2 linked regions of the Drosophila melanogaster genome follow. The protein of the gene in region 2 purifies or fractionates together with the protein of the main gene of each other region. This does not show direct contact. Each region holds a gene or a part of one and is shown on either strand. Other genes may lie near its edges.

Region 1 (5,758 bases), on a different chromosome or scaffold from region 2:
TCCGTCCGGTAAACCATCACCCATGTAAGACCTAGGCAAACAAATATGTAGGGTTAACTAAATTAACTGGCGTTTTACTTACCTTCGCCCAGGAAGGCGGTGCAAACCGATATAAAAACAATTAATATTGTGTCGGACCACATTTTTTCACTAAATTAATGTTAATACAAATTAAAACTCATCGATAGCACTATTGACATAAATCATTAAGCGGCTCCGATAGCTTATTAACATGGACTATCGATTAAAACGAACTTATTGTTGGGGGTATTCTGGTACTTTAACGGACAACTTCATTTATTCTTTTTTAAGTTTAATCAATAAATTAGACTCGCGATTATTAATAAAAGCAGTGTTTTTACTAAAAATTGATAAGGAAAAGTAAATAAATGGCAAAAAGTTCATACTTTATAAATCTGACCTTATATATAAATTAAAGAGTATTAAAATTATAATAATATGCTCTAAATACCATGATTCTTACGAATCAAAAACATTTTCTATAATTTTGAGGAATTACATTCTTTTCTTTTTCTGTTCGAATAAGTCGTGCGATAAGCATATTTCTCAGACATTTAAAACACATTTTTGGGTTTTGGCATTGTCACAAGCTTGCCGACTGATGTTAAATTGTATTTCTAAGTTCATTAAAATTTTAAGAAATATTTGATTTTACAATATTTTAATCAATTATTTTATGTTTGTTTATTGAATAGATATAAGCATGGTAACTTGCTGCAGTAGTTTCAAGAGTCCGATGGTAAGTTTCCATGGCGTTGATGCTGATCTGATGCCGGCGCATTTCTGGTTGCTGTGGTTTCGTTTTGGGGTGAGGTGACGTTAGGCGCTGTAAAATGCTACATTTGAGGAAAGAAATCAAATCAGGTTATATATATATATATGGAAATATATATGCTATATATATATGGAACAACAACAATGAGAAAAATAACGAAGAAAAGAGAGTTTGAAATCTCAAAATCAGAATGTGGATGAGACGTTGGCGAAAGTATTCAATTTGAAGTCGGTTCAGTTCAAGTTGAATATTACAAACGTCGGCCTAATTGGGAACGCAAAACGCTCGAAAGAAAAGAATTGAAATTATTCGGGTGGTGATGAGACCCTGCTGAAGTTTTAGTTGCTGTTTCTTGAAGTTTTTTTTTATATGTTGATTTAGTTTTTGAGATATCAACATTTATTTGCTCAATCTCAAGCCTCCGCCTAGTAACGTCTTCGCTCCCGCTCGCGACTGCGAGATCGTCGCCGTTCGTTGGAACGATTGCGACGCGTCTCGCGCTGGCGGTCACGATCCTTCTCCCGCTCTTTCTGGCGCTCCTCCCGTTCCTTAATACGCAGCTTGTGCTCCTCAATGCGTTTCTGACGGAATGCCTCCTTTTCTGCGATCTGAAAGCCGGAAGAAATTTTATTGTTCAGGCGGACTTGGTCTAGAAGTGATTCTCGTTGATTGGAACTATTTATCTCAGCAACTTACCGCTTCCGGCGTAAGTGGCAGCCAGTATATGCAAGGTGTTCCCTTGGTTTTTCGAAATAGATCATCTAGTAGTCTGATAGGCGGTTCATTCTCCTTCTTAGTTTTGGACGCTATTTAAACGGGGTGTTTTTGAATTTCTCATGACAGGAAAATGTATCCCACGGGCTTTACCTGGCGATCCACTGCGGCTCCTTGCATGTGCATTGCGATCAAGTCGCTCCCGCTCCCGATCGCGTCCTCGCCCCTCTCTGTCCCTAGAACGCTTTCGTTCCTGTCCGGCTCGCTCCGCATCCCTAGACCTCGAGTCCAGTCGATCCTTGCTGTCCCGACGCCTGTCGTTGCTGTGTTTGTCGTGGTCGCTTGGTTCCTTTTTGCCAACATCCCATTCGCGTACAGGTCGCGCAGGCTGAAGGAAAAAGACAAGTTAGCTCCGCATTTCTATGCTGTGATAATAATCCATTACTTTTTTGTCAGACGGTTCCAACCGGGACCAAGCGTTGCCCGACTGCTGGTTATCTCTGGTGTTTTCCTGCCCGTACCTCGGAGCCTCGTCCTTCGTTGAAAGTATTGCCCGATCCATATCAGTGCGACTGCCAAAATCTACATTCAAACATTTGGGATTTGACACTGGCCAGCGAACTCCGTGCAGGGCATGTCGGGTTTCGATGGCCTCGCTTAAAGGTTGAAAAGCAAAATAATTGCAAGTGTGAGTTTTTTATAGGCATATTTCACTGACTCCCTGGAGATTAGGTTCTATTTGCGCAACTACAATACTTACTCTTCAGTGGAATAGGCAACATAGCACTTAGACTTGATCCGATCTATCCAGAAACCATCTTCCTCAACGATCTTTCCCGTCCGCGCCAGCAGGCCTTTCAGCTGCAGCACTGTGAAGGGGCGTACCAAATTGGTGATATAGAGCACGTGGCTGGCGCGGTTTCGAGCAGGACTAGGGTCACGGACTATGTGTGGTGCTGCCGTGGAAACTGTGGCTTTGCTCAGGCTGACCTGGGCTGAAACCGTGTCTGCTGCTGCTGGAGGAGCGGCTCCTGCTCCTTCATTATCTGCCGACGCCTCTGCGGTGGTGTCGCAGGTGTTGGCGGTATTGCCCTTGTTATCGCGGTCTTTGCTTGCTTCAGATGGGGGCGCCGGTGAAGCAGATCGCTCTGAATCGCGATCGCTGGTGACCAGGCCTTCCTCCTCTGAGGACGATTCCAGTTGCACATCGCTTAGGGGCACTGGCTGCACCACATCGGCTATAATGTTCTTCAGGGAATCCGTCGAAATGGCAAGCACGGGCGGGGTACGATCCGAAGACTTTTTGTTAGTCAGCCACTTTCGCTTCCGCACCGACCGTTGTTGCTGCAGAACTGGAGCACCGGTTGTGTTGGTTGCGCTGCTGTTTAGACATGGATCGTGCTTGTCGTTCGAAAGATCTGCTGGTTCATCGTGAATTTGTTCTGGGTTTTCGTCTATCTGCTTGTGGTTTTCCTTGTGTTCCTCCTCCTCTGCGGGTTGCTGTTCCTTTATCTGCTCCTTGTGCCTCTTCTTGGTTTCTCTGCGCTCCGCAGGAGCGGAGGCTTCTTCGTCCCTTTCATCGACCTCTTCTGTCTGAATGTCTAATACATCACTAGTCGTTTTTAGATGTTCCTCATCCTTGCTGGAAGGAGAAGGAACCTTTACCTCTTGTTCTGGCTCGCTCTGCTTGGTGTCATCATCAGTGGAAGTGGGGACCTCCTGCTGCGGTTTTAAGTCCTCTTTCTCAACATCATCATCCTTGACTACAGCGGGTTCAGCACAGGATTCATCGTCTTGAGCCTGCTGATCCTCCGTCTTGGCACGGTCCTCGGACTCGCTCTCATTAGCCGCGGGTGGCGCTACAGTCTTTTCCTCCTCGACAGCGTCCTTTTCAACATCCTTTCCATTCTCCGGCTCCTCCTCGGGTATGGTGTCCACCTTCTTGTCGCCGCCCTTGGACTCCGTGCGCTTTCTAGGCGTCGTCCGGCTGCCGCGACTCCTGCGCACTGGCGATGCTCCAGATCCGGCACGTTCTTCACTGGATGCCCGCGCCTCATTGATTTCTTGAGAGGCTGGCGGTACTTTGGGGCATTCGGCCTCATTATTTTGGGCCACGACCGGAGTCTCGACCTCGGTCTTCTCGTTCTCCGACACCTTGCGGGAGCGGCGACTTCTCCGTGCAACTGCCACCGGCACCGGAGCGGGCGACGACGACTTTTTTCGCTCGCTGCGACGTCTCATGGCTGTCCGAAAATCGCTGGAAACTCGCTGCGACGCTGGAAAGATCTGAAATAAAACGTAGGTACAGCCGGCGGACCCACAGCTATTTCATGCACTGCTTTGCGAATTCACTCCTCGTTATATTCTGCACCTTTTCTTGATAAGAAAAATAATTTTACTAGGCGAAAGAGCGTCAATCCGCCATCAATATACAGGGATGCTTTCTCTCGGTCTATCGCCCCGCTGACGGCTATCGATAGTATCGTATGCGATGGGGGAAGGAAGTACCTTATTACGAAAAACTTTATCAAATGTACTTAAATGTTTTTTATTCGAGATTGTTAATAACTCTACTTATCAATTTATTTTTGTTCGCAGATTTAACTTATGAACGAAATGTTAGGTACCAAAGTTGCCGATAAAGTTTTGTTTGACAGTGTCATCTCTAAAAAATTTAAAAACCTTTGTTTACGAAATCTTAACGAAACATAAATATATTTGCGAAAGTATGATAGAGTAGAAATTATTTAAAAGTCTTCTATGTTCTTAATCAAGCGTTACGAAATGTACTTTTAAAACGTCTTTACCGCGCTTTGCAACACTACATACGTGCTATTTCATAATTTTTAATACCATACCTGCAACATTATAGGTTTTAGTTAAATAATTAATAAAGCCCTAAACATGTTAGTGAGAAATATTTGCAAGTTTACGCAAGTTATGGGCAGGTTCCGCGTTGTCGTGAATCCCAGAGATTACTGTCATCTTGCGCCGCTGAAGAGAAGCCGTTATCACCAACGGTCAGAATTCGGATGTCGACCGCTGTGCTCCAATGCTGCGGGCTACGAGGTGTCCTGGGCAGCTCCGCCCGCTTCTGGCTCTTCCGGTGGAATGTTTTGGGCATTTTCCGCTGCTTTCACTCTGAATCTGTTTGGTGGCGCCGACGAAAAAGAGGAAACTCCGGAGGAAAAACTGATCAAGACCATCAAACGATCAATCCTGTGCATTCAGAGGGAACAGTACGACAAGGCCGAGCAAATGCTTCACCTGGCTCTGCGAATGGCGCAGGATATTCAGAGCAAGGACGGCATCACATATGTGTTTGATCTGATGGCCAATTTGGCCATGGAACGCGAGCAGTTTAAGAAGGCGGAGAAGATATTCACGGACGTTATGAAACGGCTTTTTGCCGAGGGTCACACCGAAGAGAGTCCCAAGGTGGGTGACCCACTTAGACACCATAACCAGTTAAGATCTCTTTCATCTTTAGATACTTCACATCAGCTCCAAGATAGCACACATGTCTCAGCTGCAAGGGGATCTGGAAAAGAGCTTTCAAGGGTTCACTTGGACCTTGCAGCAGTTGGCTAAGCTACTGGAGAAAATGCCCGACGACAAGGACATACTGGAGCTGTATGGCTTGACAAAGAATTGGTATTGAAGGTGTTTCCATTGCCGCTAACCAAGCCTTTTTTCAATACTTTTCCTTATGTTTATTTTCCAGGTTCGGGCAGCTGCTGATGAAGCAGGGAAAATACCTGGAGGCTAAAAACCTCTTTAAGGAGGCCTTCGACACGCTCATAAATGTTTATGGTGCCGTTAACGACGCCTCTGTAACCATCCTAAATAACATCAGTGTGGCGTACGTAAACGTAGGTGCGTCTATTCTTCCAAAGTACTTGAAACACATTAGACTAATTACAGCTGGAAAAGTACGCCGAGGCAAGGGAGACCCTTTTGGAGGCCATGGAGCTGACTAAGGAGCTAAAGGATGCCACCCAGGAAGGCATTCTGCAGGCAAATCTGGGTTTGGTGTATCTTCGCGAGGGCCTGATGTCGCAGGCGGAGAACGCTTGCCGACTGGCGTGGAAACTGGGAAAGCAACACCAGAATCCCGATGCCGTAGAGCAGGCCGAGTATTGTCTCAACGAGATAAAGACAACCCTGAATGGAGAGAAGCGCCAGTGAGGATTCTTTTTACAGTGTAATTTTGACTATTTATAAAAATTTCATTTCGAAGTGAAGCAC
Region 2 (7,581 bases):
CGTATATAAAATAATTGTTTGCATTGTAAAATTAGCACTAAGATCGTTTGTCATGGTTACATTTTGATTCCGAAGCTTAACAATAAACATGGAAGTGTTGGAAGCACGATTTAAATACGAATACGACATAGATTCAGATACGGGTTACAGATTACAGATTCAAAACAGCACACAGAAATGCTGGTGCCGTCTTACAAGCTAGATATGTGGTTTAATGAATAATGAATTTGACGATGTTAACGAATGTAAAAGCCACTCGAAATTTGCACTGTTTTTGGATGGGGTCAGCTCTCCTCAGCTGACCACCAATAGGCACTACGAAAATCTCGGATCAGCAACATGGTCCTTCCTTTGCTATTGCACGTTGACAAGTAGATGTACTGGAGATATGATTTCATTTAGCTGAACCAGCAGTTTCACTTGTTGCCGCTGCTCTCGCGCTCCTCTCGAATCCTCTTAAATGCCTCCGTCTTGACAAAGTCCACGGATCTATAGACCACGCTGCTAGGCACTGGCGCTCGAGCTCCGCCAGCTTCGACGCCTGCGAATCGCATTCCACTAGCTCCATTTCCGCCTTGTGAGTACAGATTCCCCACACTCATGCTGGATCGATTTAGCAATGGCGGTTTGTTGGTCACATCCAGATCAAAGTACTGCAGCTTGTGCTCAGTCTGCGCCGCCGCTTGCTGCTTGGGAGCAGCTGCTGCCGTCAAGCTCATCATGGCAGCCGCTGCGGAGGCGGTGCGCTGATGTTGTACCGACATGCTGCCGGGACTGTTCGGATGATGCCGATGCTGTTGGCGAGGCAGGGTGCGGGTCTCGTGAAAGAAGGCGTTGGCTGCCGCCGGGGAGTGTACATCCGTTTCATGCGGCAGCACCATTGAGAGAGGGGCACCGGAGGAACGTCGCGTTGCCGGCGACATGGTAGCCGAATTGCCCAACTAAAAAGAAGTCATTAGTAAATTGAATATGGGTGTGCACAACGTTTGTCACTCACCTTATAGGCATTCGGTTTGCACTTCCTGTCCACACTGGGCGGTCCAATGGGCTGCTGCAGTTGGGCTGCACCCAGTTTATTGGTTAACTGATCTACGCCCACCGGGGGCTTTGCAGGAAACTCCTCCGGCGGTTTGTCCTCTACAACTGGCAATCCACCCGCCACCTTTGGCTTAAGTTTCCGGTTAACCGGCGGGCAGTCCGCCTGCTCCATGAAGTCGTATCGAAAAACATTGCCCTCCATCTTTGTGGGAGCTGCATTGGTGTAGCAGTGTCGAGGCAATGTGCGCGCACTGGTGGGCGATGATGCGACTGCCTGTGCCTCACCCATCAGGCCGGGATTCGCTGCCGCTGAAATTGCGGCCACTGCACCCAGATCGGCCGCCATGAGATTCGGTGTGGATGCTGCAATGGGATTGGAATTGTGCGGGCTGGTGACTGGTCGCTCGCCCAGCAGCTGGTTGACGTTGTAGTAAGGCTGCTGGTGGGACCTTGGAATGTCATAGCTTTCCTCGATGAAAGCGGAGTGCGCGTTGCGGCGGGCCACAATGGCCGGCGAAGTATTTTCCGTATCCGACAGCTGCGGCAGATCGCGAGGAATTCTGTCAATGCGCAGGATGATTTAGTAGGCCGTTTAAAATTGAATTGAGTGTGTGTTAACTCACTTTTCATTCTCCTTAAAGTCCAATATGAGATTATTTTTGTTCTTCAGCACCTTGGCCAGCTTATCCAGCGTTCCCTGGTCACCAGCCTCTGGCAGAGATGCTGCTCCTGCTAGCTTGGAACTCTTTTCAGCTGGTGGCACGATCGCTCCTCCTTCCTCGGGCATTTTAGAGAATCGCTGCGAGTACGTTAGCACGAATGATTCGTTTTCAATGGAACTATCCGAAGGTCGGGTACTGCGATCTGTGAGAAATCTTTGTTTACTACGAGAATTCGCTTTGATATTTGCCTTTTGAGTACTTACCCACATTCTCGCGCAGTGGCAAAGGATGAGCCCACTCATCGTCATCGGTGAAAACGCTTTCCGAATCGGAGTCGGAGCGTTGTTTACTAGCATTGTTATTGGCCAATTGTTGCTGAAAGGCCAACATGATAATTAATTATAAATAATGCTTGACGCGCATCGTTATCGCTATCAACTTACCAGACTCAAATTGGTTATCTTCGGTGAGTAGGATTGATCGTTGGTCAGATTTAGACCTATGTTATTATGACTACGCGGCGTATCGTAGAACTTGGGATCCAAGTTGTTCAACGGCGTGGTGGGGTTGTTTGGTATGGCCAAATCTGCGCCGGGCAGTGGAACGCCGGGCAGGAATCTCGGGCTGCCCGAGAAGCACTCGCTGATGGGTATGTACGGTCCGGATGCGGTGCTCAAAGCGGGTGAAGCCTGTACGCTGCTGTGTTGCTGGGCAGCTGCCTCCGCCAGGGTCTGCTGCGTGAGCACCAGATGCTCCGGCAATTTGCGCACTACTCCGTTGGCACTGACCGCCAAGCGAGCAGCTTGTTGCTGCTGCTGCTGCAGTTGCTCGGCGGCTGCAGCTGCCGCCTGAGCTTGGATCAAAGCACTGTGGTTTAGATAAAGAGCCGTGGCCGGCGATGGAGGCGGTTGCTGCTGGGCAGCCGAGAGCAGTTCCTGCTGATCGAAATTGGCATCGCAGAGCATCGTCTCGCGATTGCTGTACTCCGTGTTGACATACACCGAGTCTGAGTTATTGTTGCCGGCATTCGAGGGCATCGGTTGCTCTTCAATGACCGCCGGTCGTCGCAGCTGGGCAGATCCTCCAGCATTTGGGACCGAAGCCTGAGGCGCTGTGGTTCCGGCCGACGAGTGCAACGATGTGGTGGTCGTATTTTGAGTGGAGTTGCTTAGACCGCCACTGGAGCTCGTGTGTTGGGTGCGGTTTTCGTCTGGGTGTTGCAAGAAAAGAAAAACTTAAGAAGGGGTTCTTTGGACATGGGCTTGCGGACACTCACCTGCACCCACAGCTCCTAATGGCAACTCATTCGATTGCTTTGTGTCGTGTAGGTGACACACCTGGCAGATGCAGTTCACCCAGTCGCGCATATCCGCCTCCGTCTCAGCAGCCAGGTAGTAGGTGCGCTTGGGCGTCTTGATATCGAACATGTACTGAAACTTCTGCTTGCGATTCTCCAGCCGCAGGCCACAGTCCACCTGCTCGCACTGATCCAAATCGATAACGCCCTTCAGCTTGCGGCAGTTGTGGTCGGTGTAGTATTCGAGGCAGAACTGCTCCGGTATCTCGCCCTGCTTCAGCGTGAAGTAGCGACGCCTCCAGCGCTACAAAGATAATTTGGAAACAAGGCGTTAAGAGTTGCAACGAGGCGTACAGTTGGAAAAGCAATAGTGATTTCTCCTATGCCATTACACACACAAGATTCCTTCATAGCGACATATGTTAAATGGGTCGTGGAATTGCAAATATCACACGATAAACTGTCTTTGTTTTTTTGTAGCAAAACAATTCAACAAAGTCAAAAATTCCCCCAAAATGAGATTTGTAGATATTGCTTCTTTTGCAAAGAGTCTGAGAATATTAAACAAGATTACACTGTTACAAATTGTACTAAGATGCCTGAATAGTGATGACTAACTTCATCAGGTAGTTACTCATCAGGGCGAAGAGCAAATGAACAATCTTGATGCTTACAATATCATTTACGCATCAAAAATGTAATTTTCCTAGAGATCTGATAATGCGGTATTTATGATTAGAATATAGTGAATCATTAGCAAATTTTCTAGAATTTGCGACACGCCAAGGCTTTCTTTAAGTCTATCTCTAATTATACTATATCTTGCAGTAGTTTAGCTATATATAAACGTACTACGCGAGTGTACCGATGTCTCCGTTCTGGATTAAGATACCCTTACTGAGCGATGGACTCCGGTTGTTGATATGAGGGTAGGGTACGGCTGATCAGCTCAACGACTGAGTACACTATCACTGCTGGTGAGTAAGCGGGTGATGAAGCCCGAGTCAACAGAGACTGCAGCGGCGCTGCTTTTCCGCGAATCATATTTTGCATTGGCATTTTCTTGGGTAATCAGCAGACACACACACAGAAATAACACCCCCGCCCACGTTACCGTTAAGCGGTTAAGAAATTAACAGCTGAGAGGTTCGGGAACCCGCTGAAAACGTAAAACTCCAGCTGATAATGGATGGTTTTTTTCGGACTGTATAATATCAAGCTTAATTGAATTATAAACAATAAACATAATGCCGCACACAGGCCAGAAATTGGCACCCCGAGGCGCTGGAAATACGCAGCTCATTTTCTCGAGGCATCATTAGAGTTTGTTTATACAATGGCGCTCAAGATATTAGAAACGCAAACGAAAATGTGCGGGCAAAGGTTCTATTTTTAAAATGTTTCTAAATTTGTTTACTTTTAACGCGCCGGAAAGGGTTGTTTTTAAAATTAGATAGCTGCTGTAAACCTTTACAACAAAATATTCCATATTTTGTACGAAGTTTGATGTCAAGAGGTTAGTTATTTAATTTATATTGTATAATCTTAAGCAGTTTTCAAAATAGTGTGATTGAATACTACCATTTTGGACGCTATTGCACGCCTCAACATAAGCAAACAAATTGAGTACAGTGAAACCATAAAGTGGGTTTGCTGTAACTGAAAATTCTGTGCTGCAGACCTTTTGATCAACGGTTTGGGTGTTCTTGGAACTGTCGTATCCATTATAAGTGGTTTCAAATGAACGCTCTAGAGATGGGCACACTACAGAGTGTCGTGTCACGAACTCCTGAGGGAGAACTTCTATATTTTAGCTTTACTAGTTTAAAATCCAGTAAAATTTATTTGTCTGAGCAAATCATTCTATTTATATTTAATAATATAAGCAAACATACTTTTCAACTATTCATCCCCTAAATGTTTAAAAAATAATTAATCCAAAAATCTAATAAGTCATACATTATGATGGACTGTAAATAAAAATTATTATGCTGACACTACAACAGCGCATCTCTAGCATAGGCAAAATCAACAACAACAAGGAGCTGGAAAGACAAGTGCGTCATTGTTTTTTTGGTCATCGTCGGTAGTTTATGTTGCTGTTGTTGCACATTGTTTTGTGCTTGATCCGGCTTATCGTCCGTGCACATAAAAAAGCAAAAACAAGCACATATGCGCATAAAAAACATGCACACACGAAATACGGGGCAAGTAAATTTGATTAAACGCAACAGTTGGCGGAAATTTAATACACGAACGGCTCCCTAAAGTAAACATTAAACGAAAAATTAATTAAGCGTAAATTTAGACCAGGGCAAAAGAAAAAAACACGTTCCCACGCCAAAAGCAAACATAAACAGAAAGAAACTGGGTGACGGAGAGGGTGGTGGGGAGAGAGACAGAGAGAGAGAGAGGGAAAAACGCAGAGGAAGCCATCGTAAATTCATTCACATTTTGCAATTTCTGCTGCGGTTTTCAACTTGTTTGCATTCCAATCAACTGGAATACTGGAATTGCAATCCCTCGGCTTAATAATGAATTAAATCATACCACAAACAACAACGCCAAACAAACCCACACACACTGAGGCAGGCACCAATACAGGCTTAGCGTAATTGTAAAAAAATGCCACTTCCATTATCCATCGTTTTTTTTTATCATTTTCGTGAGTCAATCGATGGACAAAGATTGCGGTATTTCTCTTCCGGCTTCAAGTTTACCGTTAGCCAATTGCGACTCTCTTTTCTTTGCACATTTCACTAATCAGTGGACATTTCTGATTTGATTGGATCAGAATTTTCATTTTGATTTCGTTTTGAGCTGGGGTTTCCAGGAAAATTCCTTAGCACTTGCACACACGCACACACGCTCAGGTTTTCGAAAGCCTACGTTTTTCCATTTTCGGAAACTTACTGCTCGCCAAATGCGCTTGGTGGGCGGCGACTTAATTAGCCAGCCCTCGTAGAAAGTGCGATCCATTATTTTGCAGCGCTCGACGCAATTTACTTCGATTTATTTCACTCCACTCCGCGCACACCAACTAGAGGTGGGCCTCACGCTTGCGATAGATCTTCCGAGGCAATATCGAATAAGTATTCGATAGGCTTAAGCTAAGTCTAAGATATATCGAAATAAAAGATGCGAACGCTTATATTCGGCGGAAAGTTATTATTATTTATATATTTGTTTGGTGTAAGCCCCATTGCTTCAAAACTTGAACTTAGTGTAATATACCGTTTGCTTCAAATTGTTTTAGATTAGTGTGACCGTAGTTGACATTACCCAACACTGGCACTATTTATAATTTTGAGTTGTAAAAATTAAGTATTTACAATCTTGTAAAAAACAAAACAAAACCTTTTTTGGTTGCCATATGAAACGTGTTCAATCTAGTATTTTAAAAATAAGTCCACAAATAGCCCATATAAAATATGTATACATATTTCAAAAAACACAAGTATTTCTTTGTTTGAAAACAAGAATTTGCAGATAACATAAGTATTTACCTAATAAATCAGCATAATAAATCCAAACAAAAGCTAATAACTAAAATCTTAAAAACTTTAAATGCAAACGAAGTATAGTTTTACAAATACGTTTTATTCTGCCGTGTCAAGCGTATGCCTAGAACATACAGATTATCCATGTAGAATAGCAATTTCTTCCACGACGCCGCACAGCAGAGCACGACCACTACCCAGATCTCAGGCGGAACCTGCGCCACGCCGGAATCCTGCTGCAGCCAGAGCTTACTTGTCCTTGCTGTCGCCCTTGCCACCACGGATCCTACCGGTACGACGGGCAGCGATGAGACCGACCTTGCGACCGGCGGATGTGCCTCGCTTGACGGTGGAGGCCTTACCAATGTGCTGATGGTTACCACCACCGTGAGGATGCTCCACGGGGTTCATGGCCACACCACGCACCTTAGGCCAGCTGTTGCGCTTCACCTTGTACTTGTGGTAGGCACGACCGGCCTTCAGGATGGGCTTGTCGATACGACCGCCGCCGGCGACGATGCCAACCATGGCGCGGTTGGCCGAGGGCACGACCTTCTTGGCGCCGGATGGCAGCTTGACACGCGTCTTCTTGGTGTCCTGGTTGTGGGCAATCACGGTGGCGTAGTTGCCAGAGGTGCGGGCCAAACGGCCGCGATCACCGGTCTTCTCCTCCAGGTTGCAGATGATGGTACCCTCGGGCATCTGGCTGAGGGGCATCACGTTGCCGATCTGAAGGGTGGCCTTGCGGCCGCAGTACACGAACTGGCCGGTGTGCATGCCCTCGGGGGCGATGAACAGCTCCTTGCGGATCTTGTAGCGGTAGGGGTCGCGGAAGTGGACGACGGCCAGAGGAGCGCCACGGCCGGGATCGTGGATGATGTCCTGAAACATGGAAGAAGTACGATTCGCTTAGTTACACTTCAAAAGCAGTTAAGCCAAGTGAGCTAAGTAACTTCTAGTAAGCTGGCACAGGTGCTCAAGCACGTCTCTTGAATGTGGCATGGCCAAATGCAAGTGATCTCATCCACATTAAACGGATAGGTGTAGTTGGTGATCCTAGGAGCACGTTACTCACCTTGACAAC

The links.
Region 1: the proteins of dos (region 2) and Acn purify together in Drosophila melanogaster (affinity purification with mass spectrometry, with the first as the bait; one large-scale study listed by BioGRID). This does not show direct contact.

What each region holds. Positions count from the first base shown.
Region 1 is NT_033779.5:19,043,560-19,049,317, reverse strand, and holds Acn (acinus), read right to left. Parts: upstream 3,964-5,758; 5' UTR 3,752-3,963; coding exon 2,271-3,751; intron 2,167-2,270; coding exon 1,956-2,166; intron 1,899-1,955; coding exon 1,664-1,898; intron 1,603-1,663; coding exon 1,493-1,602; intron 1,405-1,492; coding exon 1,222-1,404; 3' UTR 501-1,221; downstream 1-500. Other genes in the region: CG10470 (uncharacterized protein), read right to left, coding at 1-31, 83-143; Ttc19 (tetratricopeptide repeat domain 19), read left to right, coding at 4,415-4,948, 5,001-5,164, 5,235-5,382, 5,435-5,698.
Region 2 is NT_037436.4:2,587,882-2,595,462, reverse strand, and holds the start of dos (daughter of sevenless), read right to left. Parts: upstream 6,050-7,581; 5' UTR 5,977-6,049; coding exon 5,911-5,976; intron 5,262-5,910; exon of another isoform or gene 3,850-5,261; intron 3,302-3,849; coding exon 2,977-3,301; intron 2,911-2,976; coding exon 2,144-2,910; intron 2,076-2,143; coding exon 1,964-2,075; intron 1,903-1,963; coding exon 1,662-1,902; intron 1,599-1,661; coding exon 998-1,598; intron 942-997; coding exon 417-941; 3' UTR 1-416. Other genes in the region: RpL8 (ribosomal protein L8), read right to left, coding at 6,747-7,379, 7,573-7,581. UniProt on the Drosophila melanogaster protein: Essential component for signaling from various receptor tyrosine kinases such as Sevenless, TORSO and DER. Required for photoreceptor cell and wing development.